Schizosaccharomyces pombe: one gene and its partners. The protein of the gene in region 3 interacts with the protein of the main gene of each other region in a pairwise test. Each region holds a gene or a part of one and is shown on either strand. Other genes may lie near its edges. The genes, in order: jnm1, mug5 and arp1.

Region 1 (7,983 bases), on a different chromosome or scaffold from region 3:
ATAGTCATGTGAATGTACGGAGATGATATGGCACGATGATTGTGGACGTAGGTATCCAATATTGTGTGGGAAGTAAATTCAAAAAGGGGCGTCTAGGGGAATGATTAAACGTTTAAACCACGTACAGGAAATCGGAACACTGTATAGGATGTTAACTGTTTTGAGTATCACTAGTTCTGAAACTTGCAAGGAGAATATGTTTATTAGATGATACAGATGTCGTTCAAGATGTTAAAGCTTTAAATCTTTGCTTATGATTAGCTCTATGTCACCCCTGTATTTTGCTTGTGGTTCGTATGATTCTGTACAGCTCATCGATGAAGGGTAGTGGAGTCTTGTAGATATTGGGTACTACTGACGATAGTATCCCGAAGCAGTTTTGACCTTTCGACGGCAATTGTAGTTTGCATCAATAGCGATTCGAGTGGATGGATCGCCTATTATTGTGAGTTGTTTATTAGATGATGTACAGTTCGCATTAAAGATAGGCGGTATGTGTCGTGAAATGTGCGGAAGTTTGTGGAATTTCATGTTTAAAGGGGTTCTCAAGGGTTAGTCGAGAAGTCGTATTTCTTGCTAATATTTCATCAAACGGGCTAGATGTGACAACTGTTCGTTATCGTATGTTTGTCTTTCTCACTATATTGATGTGTTATCAAACTTACTGGTAACTTAGTTGTTGGCGTTACCTAAACATATTGCCATATTGCAGTAGACGTTTGTGTTATTAGCTGAATTTTTCAAATGTTTACATCGTTTACTCGTTCAGTACCCAGTGGTTAGCTATAAAAGTTATTTTGCTAGCCTCATCTGACTAAACAGAGGAAAAACGCTATATTACATTTGTCTATCGATTCGTATACGTTTCCATCAGTAAAATCGAGCATATAATCGGCAGCATAAAAATCGCAAAAGGGGTCAGGGATATTGGTCGTTCTCGCTCGTCTAATGTTATCTGTTTATTGTAGCGATTATCAAACATTTTTTACAATTAGGAAGCTTCAAAAAGTACATAAATGACCATCTACTGCCTGATAATCATTGTTAGTTTGTTTGCCAATTTCTAGGTCTTAATACTCGTCCTAAAAATTTAATTTTGCAACATCTGTTTTTGTACACCTTTTATTGAATTTTGGTATCACTGTTTCTTATTAAGAAGAAAAGATTTGTTCTTCGCTTCATATCTGTATCTACTATACTCTCATATTGCCTATTTTATCTTCCTAAATTTTATCTTCCATGACCATCACTATGCCCAGCGATTGTAAATATTCTGTCGATACCGAATTGGTACATGTTGAAGGCAATGAAGACCAGTATCATGCGTCTTCAGTCCCAATTTATCAATCAGCTACCTTTAAACAGCCATGCTTAGAGCATATGGGCAAATTTGATTACACTCGTTCCGGTAATCCTACTCGCTCTGTTCTTCAAGTGCACTTGGCTAAACTTATGAAGGCGAAACATGCTTTTGTAACTAGCAATGGTATGTCCGCTTTAGACATGATTTTACGCTGCTGCAAGTCTAATAGCCATGTCGTTGCTGGCCACGATCTATATGGTGGCTCTGATCGCTTACTCTCTTTTAACCAAAGGCAATATGGATTTAAAGTGGATAACGTTGATACTTCTGACTTGGCAGCCTTTGAGGCAGCTTTGCGCCCAGACACAAACTTGGTTTTGATTGAAAGTCCTACTAATCCCCGTATCAGCATTTGTGATATTCGGGCTATTGTTAAAATAACTCGTTCAAAAGCCAAGGATGCCTTATTGGTAATGGACAATACTATGCTTTCTCCTGTCCTTTGTAACCCTTTGGACTTTGGTTATGATATAGTTTACGAGTCGGCCACAAAGTATCTCTCAGGTCATCACGATTTAATGGGTGGTGTCATTGCCACAAAAAGCGATGAGATTGCTAAATCTGTGTTTTTTAACATCAACGCAATGGGTGCTGCTATGGCTCCCTTCGAATGTTTCCTTCTGTTGCGCGGTATTAAAACGATGGGATTGCGTGTTGAACGTGCACAGCAGAATGCAATAGAAATTGCCAAATTCTTAAAGAGCAAGGGACTTCAGGTCAACTTCCCTGGATTAGACCCTGACGCTAAGTCAACCGCAATCTTTTACTCCTTTGCACGTGGACCAGGTGCTGTAATGTCTGTTTTTACTGGCGACGTTGAAGTCTCTAAAACTATTGTAAACACTACTAAGCTCTTTGAAATATCGGTTTCGTTTGGTGCTGTTAACTCTTTGATCAGTATGCCCGCTTATATGAGTCATGCTTCTATCAAGAAGGAGGTTCGAGACGCTCGGGGATTGAGTGAAGATTTGATTCGCATCTGTGTCGGCATCGAAAACGTCGATGATCTCAAGGCTGACCTCGAAAATGCCCTTGCTCAAGCAAATTTTAAACAGAATTGATTTCGTCTATGAAGGCATAGTGGTATTCACAACTAAGCTGGAGAAAGGGTTGCTTAAGTTACTAGTTGTGGTGCATATAGAATTTTAAATCATCAAATATTAAAATGATCGAAGTTTTGCTTAAAAACATCGCTTCATCCCTACTTACATATGTGTAAATTTTAATGGAAAATATTATTGAGATATTGACCGTATATAAATTATAATTAGTAATTGGCATTAGCCTACGCTTCCTAAGATGAAGCAAAAGCATTTTGAGTAACATTAGTCCTCGAATTACTAGGGATGATCCAAGTCTACAAAGAAACCAATCCAAACGTTTGAAATGTACTTTGAAATAGAAGATAAATTAATGTGTTAATGAATGTCATAAAAAACGTGAGAAACCCTGTTTGAAACGCCTATTTCAGGTACTTACTGGCATAGTACGGAAAACCAATAGAGAAGGAAATACACACAACAGCGGAGATAATTCGAGAAATAGGATGTTTTTTGTATTTAAGTTCTCTGGTTGGTGGAAGAAAACTCTTTAGATTTGAAATACCAAAACCTTTACCGTCATCCTGCATGTCATTTTGTGCCTGAAATACGAAACTATTTCTTTTTATTGATGGTTTGGTAGTGTTTTCACCGGGCAACATCCAATTTATTTTTTCACTGTGCAATTCAATGTCACGAACGTTTCCAAAGAAGTCCGTTATTAAAATGTCATCCGGGCTTCTTCGTAAGTTGATGGGTTGGACACCAGGTGTAGAATGAATTTCATACGGATTATAGGAGTTGATCAAATCCTGCATAGTCAATTTGCTTTTACTATCAACCCTATTTTCTAAGAATTCCAAATTAGAAAAGGTGAAGCGATCGATCACTGCAACTCCAATATCGATATCAGCATGATGGGAATAAGAAGAAGTTCCCACTTCACTGCTACCAATTGCCAAGACGTTTGGCGAATAGATTTTTGTATACAAAGAATTTGCCTGGCATGTATCTACCATAAATAGGATTTCATTGTATCTCTTGTGTTGATGTATTTGCTCAATTGCATCAGCAAGGTCCTCAGAACTCAATTCTTCAGCATCTTGAAATTTAATAAAACCATCGCCTCCATGACCTGTCATATAAATTAGGATATTAGATCTTTCGTTTGTCAATAATCGTTTGCTGGCTGGTGTATTTTCAGGGACTCTCTCTGTCAACAATCTGATAAACGCTTCAACAGTAACTTCATAGCCCTTATAATCAATTTCAATTTCTTCTCCATACAAATCTAATGCTCTATCTGCATTATCAAAAACTGTTCCTGGAAACAAATTTCGAGAGTTGCAAGCGTAGTCGTCAGCTATCATCAATATAATTTGACTGTCTGGGATTCCAAGACGCTTGACTGATCTGTATATTCCTAAAACATTCGCAGTATGTCTGTAGTTGAACCAAAAACGCGAGGTAGAAATTAAGACGGCCCAATTATTTGTATGCGAACTTTCTGCAGCTATTATTTGCAGCAAATTGAGCAGCAAAAGTGCCACAAACTGAACAATCATTAAGAATGCTACTCTTCAGTTGTTGAAATTAAATAAACATAAAGCCGTTTAGTAGTATCACGTTTATACAACTTTGTGACAAAGCGTAATGTTTGAGCACGATATTAGCATGTAAAGTTTTTACACGTTAATTCAGTAAACGATTCCTGCAAATAATTCAAAAAAAAATTATCAAGCCCTTTTATTGGTATATGCAGATGTAAAGTTCGACTTTGTTGTGCTTACTCGCTTACCTACTATGGTGCTCCCTTGCTAACCTGCACTTGCTTGCGACTAGAACTGTATTTTATCGAAGTAATAGTGCTCACTATAAAACATCAAGAAATTTATTCTATAAGAAAACACCTATTATTTAAGGAACTGAAACCAAATAAAACCCCTAAACCATCGATTACTCCCGAAAAATATCAAACGTGTAAGCATATGATCTGAGATACGCCTTTAAGCAATTTCGTTTACTGATAGTAATTAAAAAAGATGAAAGAAATGATTAATCTAGACAGCTCCTCTGAACCCAGCATCGTTACAAAACAATTCTCTGTAGAAGAATGCTTGAGTAAACTTAAAGAGCAACATTGCTATGTACCGATGAGAACAATTGGTCGACTAAGACTCAGGAAATCTTCCGATCAAACTGAAAAAAAATGTTGGAAAGAGAAACTAATGAAAATTCGCAGCGAACTTGAAGAATTATGGGAGCAGTCGATGATGTACGAAGAACAGAAGGAACTTACTCAATTAGGGGAAATGTTGGATAGATTGTGGGATAAACACATAAACAGTGAAGGGTCAAAGTCAGAAACTATCAGTGACACTGCCATTAGTGGTAATGATGATACTATGGAAAAGAGACTTGAACAATTTTCAGATGACACTTTGCAAGATACCCTGGAAACGGAAAAAAATCTTAACAGTAAAACTTCTGAGTCCTTGAAGTCACCAACTCTCTCATATCCGTTCGATTTGGATAGCCTTGACAAACGGATATTCAAACTAGAATCAAAAATAGGGTATGCTGATGAACCGCTTAGCGAGCTTTTAAACAAATGTATGGAAAAACTTGAAATTGTTGAGCAGGATCCTCAATTTTGGCAATCCCGAATTGAATCATGGAAGCAATTACTTGCTAAAGATTTTTTGAAACACCATGAAAGAAATCTTTGTTCAATAGAGAAACAAACGACTTTAAAAAACTCTTCGTTAAAGGAATTGTGTACGGAAGAAGATATTGTTATCATGTTAGAGATTTGTTCTTCCCAACTTCCCTTCGTTGAACAGTATATGCCCATATTACCATTGTTGTTAGAACGGCTAAAGTCTTTACAGAATATGCACACCGATGCGGCTGAAGCAATTAGCAGTTGGCAGGGTTCAAAAGATGTAATGATGACTATGCAGTCTGAGTTGAACGAATGGAAAAATACAGTTGAACGCCTTGATCATTCAAAATTTTACACACAAAGCGTAGAAGAGATGAGGAGATTATCTGACACTGTCACACAGCTTGAAAAACGCGTTTTAAAATTGCAATAGGATAGTGCTATTGAATTTTTACGCTGCATTTCTTTGTTCTGAAGTTTTTGGACGTAAGTCTTGAACGTTAAGGAATGAGAGTAAACAAAAATTTCCTAATTTCCTATATCAAAGAAAAATTTATTTGCGATAGTATCAGAAGCTTCGTACAATTTCTGTTTTTGTTACTATATGCGTTTCATCGAGTATGCAAATAATTACATTTATTTCAGGAATATTGAAACCTAATTACTTCACAAAAAGCAATATACTTTTCACTAACCTTTGCTTCTTGTTCAAATACAGAATTGTCATAGATTTATTTGAAGTAGCTAGTTGCGTTCTACCGACCACCAGAAATTACCATTCGGTTCGCTTTCATGTAGCAGGATGCGAATTTTGGGTTCCTTACCAAATAATATAAGAAAATGTACATTTAAGTTAATTCTACAAAAACGATATTCCCATACCGACATACTTAAGGAACTACTGTACGATATAAGTGATTCACAGAAATTTATACCTTCGGCATCTCCCATCGCGTCTAACTTATTACGGGTATCTTCTTATGGAAAATTATCCTCCTTGTTTATTGAATATTCTAAAGCACGTTCAAAAAAAGAGTTTGACCAACTCAGAACTTCGGATTTTCAATCAATATTACGGTCCGTTGTTTGTCCCAAAAATGGAAAAAACATCCGACATCGTGATCGTGATTTAGTTTCTTTACAAATTAAGCTAATCCTTCAAGATGCTGATCGTTTGGGAATTCAATTTAACATTGTTGACTATACCCATATTTTACGGGTTGCAATGTATACTGGGAACAAGCATATACTTGAATATATAGTAGCAAGAGTAAAGGAGAAAAGAATCCGCCCAAGTGTCGATTACTTTAATGCAATTCTCGGTGTAATTGGGGGAAACAGATGGTCGCTTTCTAAATTCCAGAGTCCTGCTTTTAGAGGATCACCGGTAACGGAACCTGTCTCTGGTAAAATGCTTGATATGATTGAAGTCGATTTTCCAAATTACGATTTGGTACCTAATTCTACTACATATGATTATCTGATGGTGGGTTTATCTCGAGATGGAAAGATTCGAGAGATTTACGATCTTATAGATACCGTTTGGGGGATAAACGAAAATTCATCTAGTAAAAAAGTTGACTGTGGAAACGTTACATTTCCTACACATCATACAGTATTTTCAATCATTTCTGCATTAGGATATTTAGGTGATGTCTCAAGTGCAGTATCTCTGTCAAGGAAGCTTACTTCTGTTTATAAAATTAATTTTCCTGAGTTAGCCTGGCGCTACATAATATATTGGTCCATTGCATCTTTACAATTTAGAGCTCCAGCTGGTCATGCACGAATAAAAAATATTGAGCTTTTCATTCGTTTGTACTCTCAAATGTATAGGCATTGTGTTCCAATAATTGAGATATACGATACATCAATTAAATTTTATATGAAGCATGGGCGATTCGGGTTGCTAGAAAAAGTCTGTGAGAGTTGGACTAAACAATTTCTAGGATCATTGGAAAAGCAAAACAACGAAGTCAAGAAAAAACATTTACAACTTCTCGAAAAGCAAATATCGAAATTGATGAGATATGCAGAAACTGAACGACCTCATGATACTAAACGAGTTTCGGTTAAGTGGTCAAACGTGTTGAACCAAATTCATTCATCCGTAGGAGATCCTGCTAAACCTTGATGATCTATCCATTCACACTGTACATTCCTTATTAAAAATTTATCCCTTCTTTTTTCTTATATTTATTTCTCTGCTTCTGGAATTTGAGCAAATCCGTAAATAACGGTGTCTAATGTCATTTAGTAAGTCTAAAAGTGTCTAGGCATGCATTTTCTTTAAAGGTTTTAGAGGACTATCGAAAATTGGTTCTAATCGCAAGTTAGGGAATGTTGATGTTAAAAGTTCTGGTTTTTTGTTATGACGAATAATATGTTATCCTTTGACAAATATTATATCGATATTAATTAATGTGCCCTTTTTAGTAATCAAAGAACTCCAGAATTGTTGTACTTGTTAAGTTACTTAAAAAAAATTTAAGTAAAATTTTTTTGCTAGCATCTTAAAAAACTAAAGATTCAATGTCTTGTTGTGCATCACAATTTCTGAGTACATAACTACTGATGCTTGAGGGCTCTAATTTTCAAGCTAAATCAATAAATTTGTAAAGACTATTAAGGTCGTCATGATTTTTTAAGACTCTTAACACTATTTAATTGCCTACCGACGCATTAAAATGCTCTTTCGTGAACTAACAAAGACTTGGGTCTTTTTTGTTCAAATAAGCTACACTTCAAATGCTAGTTTTTTAAGAAAATTTATGGAGATTCTACTTTCAAAATTATTTATCTTGCAGATTTAGAATGTTCGAATTAGGCAGATTAGTTATATTCAATGCATAGGATGAATCATAAAAGTTGCTTCACTTTGATATTATTTAATATAGCTTCATTTGTTTGAGTTC
Region 2 (7,259 bases), on a different chromosome or scaffold from region 3:
GTCATATTTCTGCTTTTCGTCGGGTGGATAAAACGACAAGCTGGATTCAAACACGGTTTATATTTACAAGGAATTGGAATGGTTGACATGGACATGAAAGGTGGTAATGTAGTAACCGTAGCTGGAGATGGATGTCCCTTGACACACTGTATACGTTAGTAATAGTTAGATTTAAATTATTATGGTACTTACATCAGCAGCTTTGCATTCTTTACCAGAAGCACACATTTCACTGCTCAGGACCATACCTTCTCCTGGGGCTGCGGCTGGTGTCGGATGAGCAAATATACACTAAAGAGTTAGTTTTAACAAATTATCTGATATTAATACATACGTTAGCACGGGAGCACTTATCGGCATATTTGCACAAAGGGACCTCTTGGGTTTGAGTGAGAGCACGCTTGGCAGCAGGCATAACGGATTTCGAGTAGTTAAACGAAGCTGCCATGGGATTGAATCGCTGTTTCTGAGATGTAAGTTTGAGCTTTTGTCCGACACGCCCAGTAGGTAGCTCCTTCTCTTCACGTAACGAAGTTATATTAGGAGTTTGAGAAGATTGAGGTTGTATGCTAGTTTCCGGCACAGAGAAAGATTGCTGCGACTTGTCAGTTGACTCCTTCTCGATAAAATCGATTTCGTCGATCTTGCTGACTGACTCAACTGAAGCATTTTTTGATTTTTCAAGCTCTTCAATTTGATTAAATAACCAAAGTGAGAAGCTAGTATCAAAATCGGACCCTATTAAATCAACTAGTTCTTCATTAATTTCAGTTTGTGTTTTTCCATTGCTAAGCATCACAAGAACAAAATCGGCCAGAGAAGCAGCCTCTTCTCCCCACCCATATTCAGAAAGTTTTTTTTCAATCGAATCATGAAGTTTTTCACTATATCCAGGTGTTTCCAGTAATGTAGTCATGTTGTTGGTTTACAGTCAATAATTAACTAAAATAAGCCAAAATAATAGAGATGCTCAAATTTACAATAAATGTACTCCGAGAATTAGTAAATCAATTCCACTCCTGTTATGGAATCAGAATTTAATAAGTTATGTACCGGTATATGCTCTAAAATGAAATCAAATAGCTCAACTTAGCATGAAATAAAGGAATTGAGAAGAAAGAATACAATCACAAAAATATGTTCACAGACAAGAAGTTGGCAAATTTGCCGTTCCAAAAGAAATAAACTTCCTATAGATGATGCGTTCGGAGAGCTTCAATGGAATACGTAGACTAAAGGTAATTTCTAGTAGCAATAGTTATATTGATACTGCAAGCCGTAAGTTAAAATACAGCAAGAGCCTCAGTTCAAACGTAAGTGGAATATAAGAAATATCTTTCACAGTAAGAACAGAAAGAATTAATAAATAGCATAAAATAGCGAGTTTGCTAATTTTTTTTCGAATATTATACCCAATTTCACTATAAGAACTATTCAACGACTAACGATGACACTATAACGCCACAACGTAACAGCATTAATTAAACTAGTCCAGAATCTAAGCGTCTAATATATATACATCTAAAGGCTTAGCCAACTACAAAGCAATTACATTGCATTGTCATTTTGGAATATAGTTATTTCTTCATAGTAACTAGTAGTTCAAAATTACTTTCTCGAGCAAATATTTTCCTTCGGTTCTCAACCTTCTTAGTAGCACCAACTACCTAAAGTCTTCTAATTATCTCGAAATCGAAAACGTTGTGAAACGTATATATTGCATATAGAAAAATTTTTAGGATATAGGTGCAAGGAATTTTACAATTGATGCTGCAGTTTGAGGGCAACGAGTTAATTGATTATTGCGAACATTTCGAGTAGAAGAGTATTTGGGTTATAATTTACATTCTATTTTATCAGCGTACCCACCATTTTGAGAAGGAGCTACAAATGTCTTCACACGATGATGATCATACTCCATTACTAATTTCCGATCCGTCAGTGAACAAGCCCTTTCGATCCAGAACTCCTTCACCAGAAAGAGAATACTGTTCTGATTGTCCTTTGCAAGCTAAAGGTTCTGCATGCAACGGTAATTCTCATTCATTAAAGCATGAAACCAATGGTGCCAGTTCAAGCAATAATAACGTTGCAAAGTCAAGCTCGCATGACTCATTTAAGGCGAAGCCTAAAAATTACGACTCTACCTCCAATTCTAATGAACCCATCTCTTTCAATGAACCAGATTCATCTAATTCTCATCATAATAATGAATCTATATGTAACAATGATAACTGTTGTCGTGAAATCGCCAGAAGACGTTCTTTATCTCCACTTTTGATTCTTCCATTAAACTTTATTAATGCCTTTTCTTGGGGCATGATTGAAATACCTCTGCTCTTTTTACTTCGACAGGAACTATGTGCCATTCATTATAACCTTGATCCTACACAGTTGTCCCCAGATGACCCAATATGCCGACTAGCGGAAATTACTACTGGTGTTTCAAAAGTCCGTGCCGCTTTTGGCTCTTTAGCCGCCTTTTTAGGTCTTTTTTCCACCGCTTATTATGGAACAATGGGGGATATTTATGGTCGCCGCCTTGTACTTTTCATTACCGTCTCATTTTTGCTGCTTGGTGATTTATGGCTTTTATATCAGTCCTATGCCCCCAAGCATCCATATTTTGTTCTTTTTGCTGCTGCCTTGAAAGGCTTAGGCGGTTATATTTCTACCGTTGTAGCCAGCCAAAATTCCTTTGTTGCAGATTGTTCTAAGACCGAGTTTCGTGCATGGTATTTAGGATTAAATTTTGCTGCTTACCATCTAGGAACCGCTTTGGGACCTAGTTTAAGCGGATTCATTGTGCAATACACTCCTCATATGTATTATGTATTTTATATTACTTCAACTTTTTGGATTATTTATTTACTTTACGTTTGGTTGATACTTCCAGAAAGCCTAGATGTTTCGGAAAGTAAAGAGCAGCAGAATAAAATATCTGGATTTTCCTCGATATGGAGATCATGCCTTGAGCCACTTATAATTCTTTGGCCTCGAAGTTTATGTACAGAGGAATCATGCGAATTCCATCAGTACGATATTAATGCTGATACCCATGCAGGAAGAAGACACTGGGACGTGTTACTTGCAGCAATATTGATATCTTTAACTTTACTCGGCGCTGGTTCAATGGGCTTATTGCCGCTTTATACGGACTATAAATTTGGCTGGGGTCCAATGAAGGCTAGCTTAATATTATCCACCGACTCTTTTGCTAGTTCAATCACATTAGTTGCGCTATTCCCTTTACTTTCTAAAGTTATCGAAAAAATAATCGAAAAGCTTTATTCTTCTGAAGGATTATTTGAAGATCCAAGTCGTGCAGACAATACCTCTTCCCTACAAGGGATTCGAAATGTTTTCTCTTATTTAGTTCGTCCTGGTTATTCACGTTCTAGTATATTGCGTGGTAGAACGGCTGACGAGAAATACACTATAGTTAAACGAGACGTTTGGAATGCACAGTTAGGCTATGCTATTGCTTTGAGTGCAGCGGTATTGTTAGCAGTTGCCAAATCCGATGTTGCACTTTTCACCGCTGTTATTATACAAGCCATCTCAAATATGGTTGTTCCTTGCGTACAATCTATTGCTCTTAATGGAGTCCAGTCCGAATATAATGGTCGAGTATTAGCTGCGTTTGCTGTTTTTGAAGCGGTTGCTTTGATCATTCGAGGCCCAATATATGCATTTGTATATACTGAGTCTATGAAAGTGTCATATCCTAATATGATATTCTTTTTGAGTGCAGTCATTTATGGTTGCTGCTTTATAATTATCTTCTTTATGAGACTTTATCGACCTTTAAATCGCAAACGTTGAAAATTCTTTTGACTCGATCGGAGATGGAAATCATTAAATTACTACTTAGAACTAACAAGTTTTGTGGGTGATTTTAGGATGAAATAACGGGTGGTGTTTGAACCGCTATTTATTCATTTACTAGACTAAGTTCAGACGCCTAATATTTTTCGATACAATTATTTATAAATTTTGAAGCTTAAATATCAACATCAGCGTTCATAATTGTGTATCTACTTTAGGATATTCAGCGTAATTTGTTAATCCTTTATTATACTTTAATTTTAAAAAAAACGCGTTTACGCGTAGTAGAGATAAAAGCCTGTGGCTTCTTCCTAATTCTCTATATGTGCTACCTAAGTAGAATGTCTAGTCAACAAATGCAGCTCACCATATCTGGATTTGAAAACAGAATTAAAATCCTAGAAGATTTAATGAATGAATTTGACAGCAATTTATACATTCGTTTAAAAAGAGAATGTGATTTTAAGCTTCCAAAAGAGTACGACGTGTCAATACATGCTTTAACTATACTGATGAAACGGCATTTATCAAATATGGAACCAATTGATTGTTACCAAGATTTAGATACTGGTACGTTGCAAACGATGTTGATATTTTGCTGCACTCTGCGTATGATTGAACATTACGAGAAAAGTCTATCAAATATAAACTTCTTTTCATTGTCAAATGATCTAAAACGCTTGGAAGAATATAATACCTCTTGTTCTGTACTACTGAGCTTGTATCAAAGACAGTTAAAAAAAATATCAACCACTATCGAGTCATATTACTTAGCAGATACACTTCGGCATAACCAAAATATTTTAAATTTATGTGAAAGGATTTATAATATCCAGAAACTTTTAAACAAGAGAGAGAAGGCTAGTGTTCTTCGTCATTAAAAAAATTTCATCAGACCTAACCTCTACCCCTTGTCTTGAACTGTTAAACTTATATCTGGAATCAAAGAACAGTAGTGCTTAAATACTTCTCACATGTTCAAAATAACAGTCATCTCTTAAATTTATGTTGTTAGACAATGGTTCTTTCGATCTTTATGGGTTTACTTTCTTTTGACAAATGTAAAGTTATGTGAAAAACTAAGGTGATAAGTGGATGGCGCGATTAAATCGCGAGCTTTTTTAACCAATTAATTTTATTTTTACAACTTTGATTATACTTATGAAAAGTTCGCCAGCCATGCTACACTTTTTCGTTCAATCTCCAGCCCATGCCAGCCACTAACACGAAATTCATGAATCCTTTCTTTGTATCGCTCAACCAAGAATATCTTATATAATATAAATATTTCAGGCATGTTTTACCCCGTTGATACTGACTTATCGCTGGTGAAGCGATAACTAATACCTCTTTCATTTATAATTTCTTTGTTTTTCGGCAGACAAAGGATATTGGAAGACAAAGGAAATTCGCACATCTAAAGCATCATTCTTCAAAGTATATATAAACCTTGTTGTATTTTATATATCGGAAAAAAATGAAGCTTGTGCTATTTCTGGTTCTTCTTTTTTCAGCGTTAATTAATTTGACTAACGCTGATAAGATGGTTGTTGCCCATTTTATTGTTGGCAATACTTATCCTTACACTGTTTCTAACTGGGAGGAAGATATCCAGGATGCAATCGCTGTCGGTATAGACGGATTCGCTCTCAATATGGGATCAGACGCGTGGCAGGTTGAGCGAATTGAAGACGCATATGACGCGGCAGCCAGCGTTTCCTCAGACTTCAAGCTTTTTATTTCTTTCGATATGAGTATTATTTCAGCAGATGCTGATTTTATTGAAGGTGTTGTTCGAAGATTTGCTGATAAGCCTAACCAACTGTATTATGATGGTAAAGTGTTTGTTTCTACATTTGCTGGAGAGACAGATACATTCGGTTATTCTGATGTTAGCACGGGCTGGGATTCTGCTGTAAAAGAGCCTTTAGCATCTGCTGGTTATCCTATATATTTTGTCCCAAGCTGGACCTCCTTAGGCCAAGGGGCACTGGAAGAAAGCGTTGCAGATGGGTTTCTCTCTTGGAACGCATGGCCCACAACGGATGCTGATATGAACGACAATGATGACATTGGTTACCAGAATCTTGCCAATTCTTTAGGCAAGTTGTATGTTGCACCAGTCTCGCCTTGGTTTTACACTCATCTTTCTTACAAAAATTGGGCCTATAAAAGCGATTGGTTAATTATTGATCGGTGGAATGAAATGCTATCTGTTCAGCCTGACATGATTGAGGTTTTGACTTGGAACGATTACGGTGAATCACATTATATTGGAAATATTCAAGGCGCCTTGCCGGCTGGTTCGGAAGGATATGTTGATGGGTTTGATCATACCGCATGGCGGTATTTGATGTCTCCATATATATCTGCATACAAGCTTGGTTTGTCAGAACCGTACATTAACTTTGAATCGTTATTTTATTGGTATAGACCGACTCCGAAATCTGCTACAGCGACCGCTGATAGTTTGTCGTATCCCTCCGGTGGTGATTATATGGAAGATGAAATATTTGTGCTTGTTTATCTGTTGCAATCCGCGGAAGTCACCGTAACATGTGGCTCTACAACACAAACATTCAGTGGTGTTCCTGGTGTGAACCAATTCACAATACCCATGGAAACGAATGCATCCCCTTCCTTCACAGTTGCTCGTCAAGGTGGTACCTTAGCCTCTGGAACGGGACCCGAAATTGTTGATTCCTTGTCGATATATAATTTTAATGCCTATACAGGTGTTCTGTACTTTTAGACTTCTAGTTTTGCTTTTTGTTATTTATTATAATCGGTCTGGGAGGATATAACGTACAGCATCTGGAAGGTCTGCTCGATTTCTTCGGTATTGCTTTATCAAAAAGGTTAAGCAATGTTGTAATAGACCCCTTATTTTTACTTTCGGGAACCATTTTTAATTATTTTCATTGTTTCATTTTAATCCATCCGGTCTATATATTTGTTGGTACTTTTATCTTTTTACCATTCATTTGGTTCTGTTGAAAAATTCATTATCGGATTGAAAATGTTCATCAAAATATTCATAACTTTTTCTGCTGGACAGGGTCTCTCGTTTTACTTTACTCCCAAGTTACTGAAATTTTTTACGTTCTATGGTCTGCTGGCAGTTACCTAATATTTTACAGCACTTATAATGTTAATAGATTGTGATTGTTATATATTTGCATATAAATTTCACGTACACTTTAAAAGGATGTATTTTAATAACTGCTCATAATGTAAGCAAAAATTGTTGGTTTAGAAAATGTCATATAAATAAAGAGGACAAATCACATAAACTTAAAAGACTTTAAGTTAAGATTTGTAGTAGGCTGAAATGATTAGAAATAGAAGATAAACCAGGAATAGACGAAATAGAAAGCCAACAAGTAAAGTCAGTTTTAAATAGGGATAATAACCATTAAGACATGTGAATA
Region 3 (7,715 bases):
TCACTGTTATTTTCTTTTCTTTTTAATTTCATCAATAAACATTTTTGATTCATCGCTATGTTTTCTATTCTTAAACAAGGTGTCATCTCCAAGTCTCTTTTAGCCGCTACCTCTTTAAAGGCAACGGCTTCAAGATTTTCCTTCTCTACTAGTGTTGCTTCCCGTGTTGACGGTACTAAGAATGGTTGGTCTTTTACCGCATCCAATGTTGCTGATCAAACCACCGATATCGGCATTAACTCTGAGTCGGCTATGAGCTGTAACGACCAAGAGCAACCTCTTTCCTTTTACGTTCAAACTGTCAGAGATGACTTGAACTCTCCTAATTGGGGAGCTGAGCAAAGAAAGGGTGCATTTGATTGGGAAGTAAGCGCTTAAACCCGAATATTGTATACAAGAAGAAAACCCGATTTCCGTTATGATCAGAAGAAAATAATAAAAAGGGAAAACAAAAAATTGGAAAATTGAATGTTTTATCTTATTCGATAAAAGCATTAAACAATCTAACAATGCAATCTTTTTTAATTCGTTATTTTCGCTTTTCTTTTTTTTTTACTCTTCTTGATGTAATTGTTAAGACATGGATTTTATTTTTATTTTTCTAAGGAATTTCGATTATTGGAATTCTTTTACCACCCCCATCCCTCTTTTTATTACCAGTTTCAACACATTGGTTCCCCTGCTTTAGAATGTTTATCGATATAAGCCGTGAACGGTTCCTTGCTTTTACCATTTTTAAATGAGGCAAGACATATGTATTATTAGTTTATACCCCCAAGACTTGTTAGTCTTTATATTATTAGTTTGTCTACTTGTTGACTATAATGATAGTCGCTGATAAAGTTGAAGTTTCCACCTTAATCTTTGTTATTTTATATCCAATTCGCCATGGTCACATTGATTTGATTGAATTTTCGGTTGCTGGATTACAAAAAAGAAATGCCAAATGCGATACAACTGTTACATTTAGATTCAGAATAGGAAATTGTTTGTATAATTAAAAAATAGAAATTGTTTATTTTAATACATTACTACTGATTAATGAGTAGATGAATGGTGGAAGATTGTAAACAATTATGAAGACAAGGTCAGCATTGTCTTTCCGTCTAGCTAAGAAGCAACCCGATGTGCAATTTATAAAGTAGTGCGGTTTAGTGTTGATACGTTATCTTTTTGATAGTTTGATTAGTTATTTCGAAAACACGTTAAAAATGCAGTGAATTTTGTACAGTCTTCTTTACAATCCATTCAACAACAATTACGAGTACGAGCGGCTTTATGATGGGTCTAACCAAGATGTAAACATAACCATTATTAAGCATATACTACAATTCAACTGAAGAAACAAATTCAATCGAAAGGGTTGTCGTAATTTCTTTATATGGTTTTCATTCAAAAAGCCTATTGAATGAAACAACTTATGTATGATAATTGCAGGGTATAGTGATACATAACGAAGCTTAATACTGCTAAGTTTCTTGTCAAGCATGCTACTTTCTTTAGACAATTCCCAATTGCTTTAACTAATAGCTGTTAGTGACCAATTTCCATTGGTTTAAGGTATTTTTTTAAAAAATTGGTACGATTGTTGTTCCTCCTGTTAGTATAAAATTTCTTGGCAAAGCCCAAAACCTTCAAAGTTGCGTCTTCTATTACTGTTTACCCGCCATTTCCTTCATTATTGCTAGTGCTCTCAAATTTCAAGCCGCTTAAAGAATAATTTAAACCCTTAATAAAACTTTCTTTTAAAACCTCCGAGTCTCAACTTTGATATTTCAGCTTTTTGGATGACTGTTACTGAAATGTGCGTGTCTTTTGAAAGAATTCTATTTATTGACGCGTTTTAGCTTTGATAATCAGCCGATATGTATCGACAATGTATGCCAGACTCTTTTTAGCCGGCTATTTCCTGTTAAACTGTCTAGTTATATTGACAAAACTATCTAGGGCTCTGGATTTATTAAAGCTGGATTCGCTGGCGATGATATTCCCAAATGCCTTTTTCCGACTTGGTATGAAGTTTATTTCTCATACTAGATACTAATATACAGTGTTGGAAGAATTAAGCATGAGCGTGTCATGCCAAGTAGTATCCAAAAAGATATGTTTGTTGGTTCTGAGGCTCAAAATCTTCGCGGGTTGCTTAAAATTCAACGTCCAATTGAACGGGGAATCATCCAAAATTGGTCCGATATGGAAGAGATTTGGAGCTATATTTATTCAGATCAACAGCTCAATACTTTACCGGAAGAACATCCCTTGCTTTTAACCGAACCTCCTTTGGCTAACATCCGAAACAAAGAAAAAATTGCAGAGTATTTTTATGAAACGTTAAACGTTCCAGCATTGAGCTTTTCCTTGCAGCCTGTATTGGCACTGTATGCCTCCGCACGTACAACTGGCATTGTTCTTGAATGTGGAGATGGCTTGACTCATAGTGTTCCTATTTATGATGGGTTTTCCATTCCATCAGCTATACAACAAGAGGAAATTGGAGGTCGTGACGTTACAGATTATTTGCAATTGCAACTTCGAAAATCTGGCCACGAACTCGTCAGCTCGGCGGAGAAAGAAATTGTCCGGGAAATTAAAGAAAAATGTTGCTACGTAGCATCTGACTTTAGATCAGAAATAGAATCATGGACTGAACACAAACCGCAGATTCATACATATCAACTCCCAGACAACCAAACTATAACTTTGGGTACAGAATGCTTTTCTGCGCCTGAGGTTTTATTCAACCCGGAAATGATGGGTTCTGAGGCGTCTGGTCTTCACATACAATTGTTCAAGTCTATTTTATTGTCCGACATCGATTTAAGGTCAACCTTATATTCAAACATTGTACTTTCTGGAGGTTCAACGTTATTGAGAGGATTTGGGGAGAGATTCATCTCTGAGTTACGTGCAATTTCTGGGAAAAAAAATCAAGTTAAAATTTATGCTTCCCCTGAACGTATGCATAATGCTTGGCTTGGCGGCTCAATATTAGCCAGTCTAAGTACATTTCGTCGGCTTTTAATTACTTCAGAGGAGTATAAAAATGATCAAAACGTAATTTTTAGGCGAAGATTTTGAAACTTAAAACGAGTATTGCAGTTTATCGCTCTTCATTTGAAACTTTTAAAACCAATATTACATTGTACCAGTCTAAAGCTTTAAAATTTGGTATATCTTTTAAACAATCAGTCTAATATTTTCAATTCACTAAGCTATACAAAAGAATACCAGCAGCTACTGAGACGTTTAATGAATCAACGTATTTATCACCGCCGGGAATTGAAACATAATGAGAACATTGCGTTAAAATGTTCGTTCTTAAACCCTCTTTATAAAGTTAGCAATAAAGGCATTCATACAATACACTTACTTTCACTTCCTAGTACAAGTATTTTCGGTTCATTCATTAGTTCTGTTTTGATTTTATGCGGGGTGTAAATTTGATCTTTGTTATCTGGCAAAGCTGGCTTGGTCCCTATGACTTTCCAACCTTTTAAAACTGAGTTCCTCAAAAAGACCATAGGATTTTTCACGTGGCTAATGTTGAAGACTTCAAGAGCTCCAGCTGAAGCTTTACTAACGACCGGTGACAAGAATGTATTATGTTTTTTTGATAATAAAATCCCTTTAGCGCCTAAAATATACTTAAACCCAATTAGAAATTTTAAATAGTAGCAAACGATAGCTTACAGCGCTTCGAATAACGGCACCCATATTTTGAGGATCTGTTATACCGTCAACGTAAACATAAAGTGGAGGATAGTTATCGGACGATGAGCTTTTACCCTCATTCAAATCATTATGTGGAGAATCCTGCCCATTTTTGTTGTTGTACTCTTCCCCAGCTGGGAAAAGTAAATCTGATATTGTTGGAACATTCAACGAGGATGCCTCCAAAACAACCCCCTAACATGTTAGTGAGAATACAAACACAAGTGCATTTTCGGTGTCTTGTAAAATCGTAAAGGGTTATGGACCACAAAAATTCTCAGAAAACGTACATTGTGAGGTCGGCATGCTGTGATTTGATTTAAATGTTCTTTATTCACACTTTTTATTGGTATTTTGTACTGTAGTTTGTTCAAAAATTCTTCAAATTCACTATGAATGTCAGCATTTTGAACATAAAGTGCTCGACATTCTCTTTTGCGCGTTGCAAGGGCATTTTTTACTGAATGCGTTCCAAATACGAATTCCGAATCCTCTTTAATTAACCGCCGCTCCTTGGACAAATGCGCTTTGGCTTTTTTGGGCACCTCGCGTGCTAAATTAACACGACTTCGTATCATTTTCGTGGTTACAAATAAGTAAAAACTTACTAGTGTCGTTTCGTAATTAGCATACACTGGATATTGTGATGTTCAAACCAAATAAGGATTTTGTACAAAAGTTTTAGTCTAAAAACACAAAATATTAGCAACTTTTACATAGTAAGCGGAAAAAGAATTAAGTATAAACTAAAAAATGAGAATTAAATTGGTTTAAATACAACATAATATTATATGATTAGACGAGAAGATTGAATAATATTTAAAACTTTAAAGAAGTTACCATCATGCACCAAAGAAATTAACTGATGTAAAAAAGTGTACAAGAGATTATGACATGAAGGGCAAAGAAATATACAAAATCATTATTCGAATAGCCAATGGATATTTAAACCGAAATGATTAATATGAAACAATATATAACCTAAAATTTAAAAAGTATATGAATATTCTTAAATATTCTAGTGCTTGTTGTGTTCAGGACGGAGAGAACGAACAACCTCACCAGCCTTCCAGATTTCCAAGTTGCGGATTTCCTCCAACTCCTTATCGTAAAGCTCACGGTAGTTGGGAGCAGAGTTGTATTCCAAGGAACGCTTAGCCTCGTTACCGTTCTCAACATTGTCATACAATTCATTAAGGACCTTCTTGTTAGCCTCAAGGAAACGAGGAGTCCAGTCAATGGCACCACGACGAGCGGTGGTAGAGCAAGCGGCAAACATGTAGTCAAGACCGTACTTGCCAATCAAGGGGTAAAGGGATTGAGTGGCCTCTTCAACAGTCTCGTTGAAAGCCTCAGCAGGGGAGTGACCACGTTCACGCAAAACTTGGTATTGAGCCAAGAAAAGACCGTTGATACCACCCATGAGACATCCACGCTCACCAACCAAATCGGAGATAACCTCCTTCTTGAAAGTGGTTTGGTAGATGAAACCGGAACCGACGGCAACAGCCAAACCAATGGCCTTTTCTTGAGCCTTACCAGTAACGTCTTGGTAAACAGCGAAGGAAGAGTTAATACCACGACCTTCCTTGAAAAGGGTACGAACGGTACGACCAGAACCCTTGGGAGCGACAAGGATAACATCAACATCCTTAGGGGGGTGAATCTTAGTTTGATCCTTGAAGATGACGGAGAAACCGTGAGAGAAGTACAAAGTCTTACCCTTGGTAATAAGGGGAGCAATCTTGGGCCAAGTCTCAGTTTGAGCGGCATCGGACAAAAGGTTCATGATGATAGAACCCTTCTTGATGGCCTCCTCGACGGGGAACAAAGTCTTACCAGGGACCCAACCGTCTTCAATAGCTTGCTTCCAGGAAGCACCATCCTTACGGACACCGACAATAACGTTCAAACCTTGATCACGAGCGTTCAAACCTTGACCATGTCCTTGAGATCCGTATCCAATGATGGCAAGAGTGTCGTTCTTGAAGTAGTCAACAAGCTTTTCACGAGGCCAGTCAGAACGCTCCCAAACGTTCTCCTTGGTACCGGCAAAGTCCATAACACGCATACCGCGAGTTTGCATCAAAGGGGCGGTCATGCGAGGCGCAAAACGCATGCTGGGGGCAGCAATGGTGCGAGCCATAACAGACATGCTACGAGTAGCCAAACGACGGCTACCCATAGTACGCAAGGCCTTCATGGCCATTCTAGAGGAATTACGGAAAGACATTTTTTACCCAAAAATTTTTGATTTGGAACTGGTGTTCTTGGCAAGTATCTCTTCTAGATATACTGAATTTCTCTCTACTGCTTTGTGACTGCTTCTTGTGCTTCCGTCTAAGTAACAGCTGATGGAAAAGAAAGATAACGTAGCGGCTTGTATTGTGTTATAAAAATGTAAACAAAACCACCAGAATACTCCTTTTTCAAGTTTAACAAGATTTTTATCATGTCCGGTGTAAAGGCACGTGAATATAGAGCTTTGTGTTCTCGAAATAAGCACTTTCATAAATGATTGACCCAGTATGTTGTGATGTAAACCATAGCTTGGATACGGTCGGTGCGTTGTTTTTCCTCATGACCGGCAAGGATCTGTCGCTAACTCTACGAACCCGGAAGAAGCAATCTTGATTTTGCCCCAGATATCCGCTTCCTAGTCCGAGTTCCAATAATCTTATCCTATGCTGTATTGCTCTCTCTTCATACCACGGTGGATTGCTACATTTGTTTTTCCATAGTATATCGAATTGTATTCTCTTTATCCACGAAATAAAACTTTCAACAAAAAAAAAACAAAATAGTTTATTAAACATTGTTTTTATAAAATCTATATATTAAACACTGAACGACTGTAAATCCCATCAACAAACGCTTCATAGAATTTTTTTTGGTGGCATTAAAAAAGAATTAGTCCCCATGTTGGAGGGGTGAGAATGTAATTTTCAAATTTCATATTGTGGCAAAGTGATTTCGCTAGATACAACTGGAATATTTCCATATACGCATCACTCTTCAAGAAGATGCATATCTATCCAAGAATCGGTTAGACGAATGCAGAAAGGGTTGAAATAGGTTTAACAAGGTTTTGGCAATTTCTATCAATGTATACTACATTTTCTTCTTTCTTAAAGAAAGGCATACAAGGAAACCATCCAGCTCAATCGCTCTCTAATTCACTGCCCGCAGGAACCTAAATTGACAAAACAATAAGAAAAGAAAGGTGGAATGAGAAGTTGAAAAGCTAACGAAAAAAACCATGTTTTGAAAATTAACATCCTTTTTAAATAAAATAGTCATAATATACGTTTCAAGCTCATTAACGAAAGTGATCGTGTTTATACATGAGGAGTTGAATCCTCAAGTTGACTAAACTAGCACACGATCTTTCTCCCCAGGCCGTTGGTCCGTAGGATACTTATACCACTGTAACACCAGGATGGTAACCAGTAGGATAACTATTGGTAAGTTATCAACAATCCTAAAAACACTTTACTTACCAGGAGGTTATGTCTTCCATTTCTCCAAAAACGCTTTCGCGGTTGGTATCATTAACTTGGGAATCAAGTCGCTCAAAGGAATTAGTTTGAGACATGATATCAATTAAATGTTCCTTTTGGAATTTTTGAATATGTGAGTTTACTTGAGTAAACTCAAGCAAAAAACCGTCGTGGCCTTCGGCCGAAATAATTTTTTCCAAGGTAGCATTGGGAAAAGATTTGGCAATTTCAACTTGTTCGTCAAATGTGAAAAGACCATCGCTTTCAATACCGAGTACGAGTACGGGTAAAGACAAATCCTTCATGACTTCCTTAGGAGAGTCTGAACCGCGTCCACGAGTAATATCATGGGTGTCCAACTTTTTAGTAATCGAAATGTAACAATTAGCATCAAAGCGACTTACAAACTTCTTCGCTTGGTAACGTAAATACGATTGCGCAGAGAAGTAAGTATTAGCAGGACGTCTTAATAACGAACTCTGGTTAAGGGAAGAACTGTCTGTA

The links.
Region 1: the proteins of arp1 (region 3) and jnm1 interact in a two-hybrid assay, tested with the Schizosaccharomyces pombe proteins (one study listed by BioGRID).
Region 2: the proteins of arp1 (region 3) and mug5 interact in a two-hybrid assay, tested with the Schizosaccharomyces pombe proteins (one study listed by BioGRID).

Annotation. Positions count from the first base shown.
Region 1 is NC_003421.2:1,451,991-1,459,973, forward strand, and holds jnm1 (dynactin complex subunit dynamitin), read left to right. Parts: upstream 1-4,222; 5' UTR 4,223-4,445; coding exon 4,446-5,501; 3' UTR 5,502-5,865; downstream 5,866-7,983. Other genes in the region: cbl1 (cystathionine beta-lyase), read left to right, coding at 1,252-2,424; gpi8 (pig-K), read right to left, coding at 2,826-3,968; PPR-repeat protein ppr6, read left to right, coding at 5,871-7,202. UniProt on the Schizosaccharomyces pombe protein: Required for correct meiotic chromosome segregation.
Region 2 is NC_003424.3:5,238,902-5,246,160, forward strand, and holds mug5 (protein mug5), read left to right. Parts: upstream 1-4,151; coding exon 4,152-4,709; 3' UTR 4,710-5,213; downstream 5,214-7,259. Other genes in the region: poly(A)-binding protein Nab2, read right to left, coding at 1-146, 193-291, 335-916; SPOM_SPAC14C4.07 (transporter), read left to right, coding at 1,891-3,825; cell wall glucan endo-1,3-alpha-glucosidase Agn1, read left to right, coding at 5,306-6,580; SPOM_SPAC14C4.10C (Nudix family hydrolase), read right to left, coding at 7,138-7,259. UniProt on the Schizosaccharomyces pombe protein: Required for correct meiotic chromosome segregation.
Region 3 is NC_003423.3:4,082,150-4,089,864, forward strand, and holds arp1 (centractin family actin-like protein Arp1), read left to right. Parts: upstream 1-1,787; coding exon 1,788-1,804; intron 1,805-1,847; coding exon 1,848-1,878; intron 1,879-1,947; coding exon 1,948-2,012; intron 2,013-2,051; coding exon 2,052-3,078; 3' UTR 3,079-3,199; coding exon of another isoform or gene 3,200-3,327; 3' UTR 3,328-3,359; downstream 3,360-7,715. Other genes in the region: protein sro1, read left to right, coding at 58-378; SPOM_SPBC1347.14C (uncharacterized protein), read right to left, coding at 130-495; mrm1 (ribose methyltransferase), read right to left, coding at 3,200-3,327, 3,371-3,644, 3,691-3,906, 4,002-4,289; ilv5 (acetohydroxyacid reductoisomerase), read right to left, coding at 4,730-5,944; homoserine O-acetyltransferase Met6, read right to left, coding at 7,130-7,169, 7,212-7,715. UniProt on the Schizosaccharomyces pombe protein: Core component of the dynactin complex which assists cytoplasmic dynein by increasing its processivity and by regulation of its cargo binding.